Linked DNA regions of Callithrix jacchus. The protein of the gene in region 2 purifies or fractionates together with the protein of the main gene of each other region. This does not show direct contact. Links are inferred from orthologs where the notes say so. Each region holds a gene or a part of one and is shown on either strand. Other genes may lie near its edges. The genes, in order: PCDH7, RYK and ADGRA3.

Region 1 (3,664 bases), on a different chromosome or scaffold from region 2:
ATCAGATAAATCAAAGAAATATGTTTAATCAAAGAAAATATGTTTTGGCAGTTCTGTAAAAATTAAAGGTCATATATTTAAAATTAAAATAGGAGATTACCTACTTATGACAGAAAAAAAGCAGAACAAAATGGATCCTATTTATGTCAGACGTCAAAACAGACTGTACCTTTGTAAATGATCCCTTGTCCCCTGACAGCAATATTGAGGAGATGAAACATATCAATTACTATGACTAATTACATTAAGGGGAATGTGTTTCATTTGCCTTTATTTCATTTTAGGTCAGCTGTTTACTTGTGGTTAAAACTGTATACTTCCTTCGAATACCTAATGACAGAAAAGTTTTTCAAAGTCACTTTTGGCAAACTGTGTGATTCATTCCAATTGCTTTGAGGGTTTTCTCTTGGAATATGAACTTCTTTGCTCAGTGAAGAGGCTAACACCCTATATTAGTTTATTTATAAGCATATCGCTTTGCCTTTTAAACAGGATGCCAACAGTCTTGATATTAGCTGTTTTAAATATTCAGGAATATAGAGCTAACCTCATCTGATGAGGAAATGAAGCGTAAGTGACAGCACAGAGCATATAAAGTGTTTGCATAAAATATCTATAAAAGTGTCACTTGATATGTCCACTCAAAAACAGAAGATTACACAATTGAGAATGCAAATGCTATCTGGCCACAGGACAGAAGTACCATTAGGATAAAAACCGAGATATAAATATTCTGCAGACAGATCTCTTCACACTCCTTTGCATTACCTGTTGCTCTTTTCTAGAGAAACGTCTAATCTCAATGTATTTTTGGGTGTTTATAAGAAATCTGTAGAAAGTGCTACTGTTTTAGCTAGAATCTTCCTTGTTTACAAAACTGATAAAAGCACCACAACAATACAAAAATAAGCTTCTAACTTCAGGTAAGGCAATAATACAACAGGCATAAACACTAGATTATGTAAAATGTTGGTTTAAAATAAATAATTCAAATGCACATATATCAAAGGACATATTTTCAAAGCCATTTAATGCAAATGTAGTTCAAACCAGTGTTTAGGTTGCATTTGTTATTAGATATAAACGCATATTAAGACTGATTCTCCTTATCCAAACACCTACAGTAAGGTAATATATGTAGAAAATATTTATTAAAAAAAAATTTCAATAATCAAAAAAGCAATAAAGAATTAATATCTTTCTGTAACATCGTTAATGAGGCTATAAAATAACATTTTCTTTTGCCTCAATTCTTCTCAGATTCCACATTCCACACGCAAAGCATATTTAATGGAAACTAGACTGACAGTCATAACTGTGTTTCTTGAGATGGGTTCTGACAGGAAGAAAGACTTACTGATTTATTATCTGAGGTTGCTGTAGCATGAGACACAGCCCTTACCAAAAGGGCTTATTTGCTGTGGGGCAAACTTTGGTGGATACGCAAAGTAAACTTTCTGAGGATTGTGTATCACACAAGGAAAACTTTCAAAAATAAATTTCATTTTTGCTTAAGTTCCACCACAGAATATATGTATATTTTACTGTTTCTATATGTCACTGAGAAACGATTATGTCACATAATCTTTATATTCTCAATATATCATAACACATGCCGAAAGTCTTGCACACAGTATATTGATCATGAATACTTTCATTACGTGACTTAAATAATAAATGGCTCATGCAGTGTATTTTTGTTTACAAACTTTTAACACCAAACAGGAAGAATGCAAATAGTATTTGCATATCATTATAGATTACTAATTCTTATAGATATCAATTGTAATAGATATAAAATATTGAAAGTAGAGTTCTATATGACATTTGCATGTCAGTAAGTATTTTTAAACCAGCGTTTTCATCAAAGGAGTATTTCAATATCTCAGACTTAGTACTACATTTGCTTGAATCAGCATCTGCTTCTCTGTAAAATCCTGCACTGTAAATAACATAGCTAAAACTTTTATGGTATCCAACTTGCATAGACACCAGTAGTAACTTTAGAAACTTTTGCTCTGGATGCAATTATCCACTTAGTTGCCACAAAAGAAAATAATTTCAGGTGAAAACTAACCATCTAAACAATACAAGCATATTTATTCTGGGAACAAAAAGTAGAATGAATTAAGGATGTTGAGTGCAAAGAGAAGTGCAAAACACTGCCTACTTTGAACAGTTCCTTCAGTAGTTTACTGAACCTTAAGTCTAAACTTGCAAAATACAGTGGTACACCACTGGTGGATGGCCTTTGCTAAATTAATGGTGCACAAATTAACATTAAGTTCCTACTGTTAAATTTTAATAATAACTTTAAAAAACGAGAAGACAAAACTTTACCGAAGATAATCTGTCCCAGAGTTACTAGCCCTCCCTCGGATATTTAAATACATTTGGGATACATCTTACCTGTTTGCTGTACTTGTTATTGGTTTGACAGCTGTACTCAGAGCAGTGATCTGATCCAATTGAAATGTTGTCTCCTGCTCCCACAAATGTGTTGGCTGGTGGTAGATCTTGTACGGCCTGGTGTTTTTTTCCTGCAGTTGGTGACTGGGGATGAAGCTGGACAGTAGGCAATGGGGAACTAGATTTGTAATGCCTTGCCAGGTCGGGACTGCCAGGCCCACCATTAACAGATCTGTATCGCCCCATGCTTGGGCTGTCTGACAGCTTTTCATTGACACTATCATACCTCTGTCCATTTGGTTTAGAAGCCTCTACAGTGACAATGCTGCTGTAGAGAGGCTGCTTAGATTTTTTGTTTTTCTTGTCCTTTTTAGGCTTTTTAGATTTGTCATGCTGTTGCGGTGTAAAAAAGTCTTCGTGATCTTTTTTGCCGGCTTCATAGCCATTTTTATTTTTGGACCTGCAGTACCTTGCCATCACTACAATTAAGATGATTAGAATCACTGTCATAATGCCAGCAACCACGCCAATGACAATACTGAGTCTCTGTTTGCTAATTTCATAGCTTGGGTCACCAGCTATATCCTGGGTGAGTGGAGTGTGCAAACTTCTAGCTATCTGGGAGTCAATCACAGTTGCATTAGAAACACTTTCATTGACAAACACATGCACCAGAGCCGTGGTGGACTGGGAAGGCTGCCCACTGTCATTCACTTGCACCACCAACCTATGCAAGCCATAATGCTTTTGGGTGAGTTTTCCCACTAAGGAAACCACACCACTAGTGGGATCAATCTCAAACAGTTTGAAGGGATTCCCTCCCACAATGCTGTAGTTCAGGTCTGCATTGATGCCATCGTCACTGTCTGTTGCCAACACTGTAGCTACTACTGTCCTGACATTACTTGAAGGTGGCAGTAAAGTATAGGAAATGTTTCTGGGAAGGGTAACTGTGGGAGCATTGTCATTTTCATCCATCACAAAAAGCGAGACTGTGGCTGTGGCAGATCTGGGAGGATCTCCCCCGTCCACGGCCTTGACTCTGAAAGTGTATGTGGTCTGATGTTCCCGGTCAAAAGACATTGTGGAGTAAATGGTCCCCGTGTCATTTTCAATAGAAAAAATGTTATTGTTCTCCTCTATATACAAGCTCATCTCTGCATTCCGCCCCTTGTCAGCATCCATCACGGTGACCATCCCTACAGGACTGTTGGGCTGCAAGTTTTCTTTCACATAAAAGGTGAAGACGTCCTGC
Region 2 (2,318 bases):
ATGCAGAAACCTTCAGGGGGTTCTAGAACTGAGAAGATACTCATCTGTATGTCTAAACACCCTCAATAGCCTCCTGCTTATCCCATTCTCATTACATGACAAGATAAGCTATGTGATAGAAGCAGGAAACAGAAAGCAACTACTTTGCTCACTAGTCCAGATCATCTTCCCTGTATCAGCTGATACCAACTGGGAAGGCAAAATGACAGTAAGAAAGGTGTTTTATAACTACTGTGTCCTTTATAACTACTTTATAACTACAAAAGTCAAGTACTCACTCTATATAGAAAAACTGACATAATATTCAGCCAATTTTCCTAGTACATCCATTTTCTTAGTCTGTCCTCTCAGACTAATTTATAGTGCTTAGATTATGCACTATAAAATAAAATGCAAGAAGTTCTAATGTCAAATGCATAAATTAGTGACTGAATCACCCTGACTTTATGGTTCTTTACAAGAGTCTAATTTAAATCCAAACAGTCATTATTTTCAAAGGGAAAGCTCTGTTTGAATATGGAAACCTGCTCATTTTCCTTTATTCCAATATAGTAAATGGAATAAAGTTCATGCCTTCAAGCTCAGAAAAACTCACAATTCATCAGGACAGTTGATTGGCTGGGCTATTCGGTAACCATCTTTCAGGTATGCGGCCATCTCGAAGGGGTCAATGTCCACGTAGGGCGTCTGGCCCAGAGTCATGAGTTCCCACAGCGTCACTCCAAAGGCCCACTAGGAAAGGAGCAGGAGCACAATGAGGGGACATTTAAAACAATGGTGAGGGGGCTAGTGCCCACAGCTAGCTACAGGACAAAAAATAGCAGCTCAACTCAGGCTTCAGAAAAGCAAAATGTTATTTACAAAAAGAAGTCTATCATACGGTTATTTTCTCTTGCCAAGATTAAAAAAAAGTTCATCCAATATTAGTATTATAAATTCTGCAATTAGATCCATTCGAAGTAATAGTTTAGTGTTGATTACAAGCTATGTATTATAAATTATGTCTAAGATTCTTCTAATATGAGAATTTGTACCTTTAAATATTATAGCTAGTCTGCATAACTGAGAAGTGGAAAATGAAAAGAATTCTAGTCTAATTAAAGGGAAAAGCATCCTAAGTGAAATATGCAAATGAGGGGAAACATAAAAAGTCATGGATTTTTACTGTATTTAAAGTTTTAAATTAACAGATTAAAATAACTTCCAAACTTGCCTGAGTTAGCAATCAGACTTATTTAAAATCAGTATGTAAACTACAGAAAGGAACAGGAATGGTCAACAGTGGCAACGGTGTCCACTCATAGTCTGAGCGGGGCTCCCCATTTTGGCCAATTCCTGGCTGTACTCAGCTCCTGGAGAGTGTGCAGGAGGTGGGAAGCAGGCAACATGTCTACACAAAGCTGCTGCCACGTGGCTGAAAAGGACTCAGATCTGGTATGTCCACTGATCTGTTACCATGTATGAACCCTGAGGTCAGAATAACTGAACTTGAATAGGGAAGGGGAAACCTGTAGACTACAGTATCAGGTTTGTGAGTACCTACAAGTCTGAGGCATTTTGTATCCTTCAGTACATTTAATTTCCTCAATAAACCTGTGAGAATCATTGGTAGTTCAGTTTTACTTGTGCTACCATGATGGGGAAACTGAGGATCAGAGGAATAGCTTGCCAAAAAATGCATATTTTAATGAGTAAAAGAAAAAAAAAAGAAAAATACCAAACACAAGTCAAATACAAGTCTATTTGTAAAATCTAAGTATACTGCATTAAATTTTAGGTTACTATTTTTCAGTAACAAAATCCTAAAATACTTACTTTGTAGACAAATTTTTTAAAAAGCCCTATAATAGTGAACAATGGCTACATTTCCCCCAGAATCTATGCAAACAAGAAAACAATGAAATGACATATTTTAAGAACTGTCATAGTAAGTTCTATATTGAGCCAAAATATACTTCAACAATGAAGACAAAATACGGAGTTTTCCAGAAAAATAAAAGCAGGGAGACTATGTCTCCAGCAGACCTGTAAGGTGTATAAAAGCAGTTCTTCATGTGGAAAAAAAAAAATACACCACATGGAAATCTGGGTTGACACAAAGAATAAAGAGAACTGAAAACATATTAGTAACAACTGAACCTATTCTCTTGTGTTAAAATTTCCTTGATAGACTATTTAAAGCAAAAACAGCTAACAAGATATTGTGGGGTTTATAATATACAGAGAATTGAAAGATATACCCACAAACAGTATGAAGACTGGAAGGGGGATGAGTGGAAACACTGTATTGTAAGGTGCCTACATTAAACACCAAATGA
Region 3 (3,664 bases), on a different chromosome or scaffold from region 2:
TAAGTTGCCATCACTTGCTTCCAAAGATAATTGTAACTTTGCCATCCTATGTTAACCAGTAAAAGTGGCAGCAATCTTCTTCAAACTAAATTTTTAAGAAGTAACTGGTGAACTCGTGATTGTTTAAATGGACTTTCTTCTTAGCTTCTGAGTTATAAAAATGTTAAATTTCATGACCTATTAAAATTATGCCCAAGTTTTGCAAGTATTTTGCAAAATTGTTCACCTGTATTTGTACACATACACTTTTCAAGTTATACAGAGAAAATAACATCCCCATTTGAAAAATGAGGAATGGCCCCATGGTTAATTAATAACTAATGAAACCATGTCTATTTCCAGTTCACAATGCTTCCACCTAAGAACCTGTCAGTGCACCCAACCATTCTTCCATATGCTGGCAAACAGTTCAGTATATACCTCTGGATACCACGTGGCTCAAATTGAGAGGTGAGCAAAACAGAGTCACATCATAAACATGTATTCCTCGATGGTGAATGTTCTTCCATGTCCTCATTCCAAATACCACTGCAATTATTCTAGTAACTAGACACATCCCACTACCAGAAACGACTGCTAATCCTGTGGGCAGCTAACCTGTGATCTTAAGCAAAAATGGAGCACAATATTAATCACAGAGCCAGAATTCAAACAGCTTCTCCCAGTGCAAGGAAAATTCACTGCAGGAAAGAGGGCTGTAGCTCAGAGACACAATCAAGTATCGAGGCAGTTATTAGAAAATCATGGCCCCCGAAGTTCAGAAAACAAATGAAATGTTACCCCATTGACAAGTGAGTTGGCCTATCTGCCTAAGTCCCATTTATATACAAATATCTGTTTTCCTTCCCTTAATAACCACATCCTACCAAGTAAAGTACCTAATGTACTAGGGCTACAGTTCCACCAGAATGCAAGATAGTAATTCTTATATATATATTACATATATAAAAGAATACATCTATTTACATATATATAATATGTAGATATCTGAGAATATATCTAACATATTACATTATAGATAGATCTAGTATATAAGAACATATCTATATTAATATAAAGATATATAACATATATTTGGATATAAATAAATGAAGCCCTTAAGTCTTCTAATTTCTTTTCACTACACTAATGAACAGTGAAAGCTCTGGCCTGTGGTTTAAACTGCCAAAGAACTGTACGTCAGTCACTGAATTATAAGCAATATTACATTTAAATCTTAATGATATATATTCAGATAAATCTAAAAGAGCATTCTATATAATATATAATATATATTAGAATATATATGTGATGTATAAGTGTGTGTGGGCAATTGATATATAAAAACATATTAAATGATTCATAGAAACAAGTCTTATTATTTACATTTCAGCAATATTAATGGATCTAAGAAGTTCTACATTATAGAAATATGCAGGTTTTGTTTAGTCCAGTGCTTTCTCCACAGTTGTGTACAGAGCACTTTTAGAATCAAGGATCTAGAAATAGAAATGCCATTCGACCCAGCAATCCCATTACTGGGTATATACCTAAGGATTATAAATCATTCTACTATAAAGACACATGCACACGTATGTTTTTGACGGCACTGTGCACAATAGCAAAGACTTGGAACCAACCCAAATGCCCATCAATGATAGACTGGATAAAGAAAATGTGGCACATATACACCATGGAATACTACGCAGCCATAAAAAACGATGAGTTCATGTCCTTTGCAGGGACATAGATAAAGCTGGACAGACAACCTTCAACTGTTTTTAAAAGGCTCCACTAAATACATCACTTAGATCTGGCAGTTTGATAGCTTTTAGTCCTATCCTGAGAAAACAAAAGCACCAGCTTATGTTGACCAGGCTCAATCAGATTAAAAAGCAATTGCCCCATTGCTTTTTCAGCAAACTGACACAAGAACAGAAAACTAAACACTGCATGTTCTCACTCATAAGTGGGAGTTGAACAATGAGAACACATGGACACAGGGAGGGGAACATCACACACCAGGGCCTGTCAGGGTGGGGGGCAAGGGGAGGGACAGCAGGGAGTGGGAGGATAGGGGAGGGATAACATTAGGAGAAACACCTAATATAGATGACGGGGTGATGGATGCAGCAAACCACTATGGCACGTGTACACCTATGTAACAAATCTGCACATTCTGCACATGTACTCCAGAACTTAAAAGTATAATTAAAAAAAAAAAAGACAGGACCACATTACATGAAAAGGTGAAAGTGATACTACAGAAAACTCTTATGGATGAGTCAGGGCTCTGGGCTCTGGTTTCAGGCCTGCCCTAACCTAAGTGTGGGCTGCAGTTTACCACTTGCTTGAGGTTCCCTCTACCTCTAGAATTCATTTCTTTATAAGTGATTATATTACAAAAGAAATTGTACATATAAAGTTCTCCTGAAGCTTTAAATGTAAAGCTTAAGAACACATTAATTCTGCTCCTTGCAAATTATTCAAAACATTGTTAATTTGCTGCTCATTCATTCTGAAAACTGTGCTTGTCAATTTTGTTCCCCTAAAGGATATTACGTGGACAAGCATCTCATGGTTTTAATGTGGTTCTGTTAAAATATGCCACTTTTAGAATTCATTGCATGTTTAAAACTTATATATTCTAACCATTTGGAACTTCAACACAGTGCCCCAACAGACTCTCATTGCTCTAAGACATTACAAGGACAATTAAAAGAAACTTACTACAAGATTTGGGTGATTAAAACTCCTGTTACAAATGACGAGCGAAGGGTGTGTGAAGAGAAATGAAGCAGGCTGAGCTAAGCAGCCCTGCCTAAGCCACAGTGTGGAGGCAGAACACTGCTTTCTCACCAGCTACCTCTGCCGTATCTCTGGACCTTAATGTCCAAGAACTGAGAGTTCAACTGTCCCCATCCCAGTAACAAACAGGTCATTATAAGAGAAGAGGCAGAAGTTTCTTAACAAAACAATCCTGGAAATTTAAAAAAAGATGACAACATACACGGGTTTTAAAAAATCAGATTGAACTATGTCACATTACCATTTGTTGACACTGTATGCTACACATCTGAATTTTGAAAAGTACCTCTTTTGATTTTTCCTCTTTCGTAAATCTTCCAAATTTTTCAATCATTTCTGCCACAAATATAACATCCATTTTGTCAGAAAAGTTGGCTGCTTCCACAGTGTAAGCCAGTAACTGCCGAGCTGTTGCCACAGCATTGGTTAGATTAAGGGGCATCTACATTTCAAAGGCACAAATGATCAACAGAAAGGTCATTAGCAAAATGATCAACATAATCTTGACATTTTAACTTTGCAATTCCAAACAGCAACAAATAATAAAAACTTTATTTTTTACTCATCATGGCCTTCTTAAAAATGCTTTTACAAACTCAAGAAAACTGGAATTTTAATGGAAACTCACTTGAGGGAAATTTTTTTAAGCTTGGAGTGAAATACAATAATACATAAAAATACATGAGGTTAACAAGTTTCACCATCTATATCTTCTCTGCCTATCCAGATTCTACACACACCTCAATCCCAATTGCTTAATAAAGCCTTTCCTGAGTATTCCTGCTGCAAGTGATCAATACCTCCCCAGGAACTCCTACTGCACAAGAGTATGGACTAGTTATTTGGCACTTACCTTTATTGCCATGCCCAGCCACTA

Evidence for each region.
Region 1: the proteins of RYK (region 2) and PCDH7 purify together in Homo sapiens (affinity purification with mass spectrometry; 3 studies listed by BioGRID and IntAct, with this or other methods). This does not show direct contact. The link is inferred for Callithrix jacchus from reciprocal best matches to the Homo sapiens genes RYK and PCDH7.
Region 3: the proteins of RYK (region 2) and ADGRA3 purify together in Homo sapiens (affinity purification with mass spectrometry; 3 studies listed by BioGRID and IntAct, with this or other methods). This does not show direct contact. The link is inferred for Callithrix jacchus from reciprocal best matches to the Homo sapiens genes RYK and ADGRA3.

The regions. Positions count from the first base shown.
Region 1 is NC_133504.1:163,020,205-163,023,868, forward strand, and holds part of PCDH7 (protocadherin-7), read right to left. Parts: coding exon 2,410-3,664; intron 1-2,409.
Region 2 is NC_133518.1:50,014,647-50,016,964, reverse strand, and holds part of RYK (tyrosine-protein kinase RYK), read right to left. Parts: intron 733-2,318; coding exon 596-732; intron 1-595. UniProt on the Homo sapiens protein: May be a coreceptor along with FZD8 of Wnt proteins, such as WNT1, WNT3, WNT3A and WNT5A. Involved in neuron differentiation, axon guidance, corpus callosum establishment and neurite outgrowth.
Region 3 is NC_133504.1:171,415,503-171,419,166, reverse strand, and holds part of ADGRA3 (adhesion G protein-coupled receptor A3), read right to left. Parts: intron 3,230-3,664; coding exon 3,074-3,229; intron 1-3,073. UniProt on the Homo sapiens protein: Orphan receptor that may have a role in planar cell polarity pathway.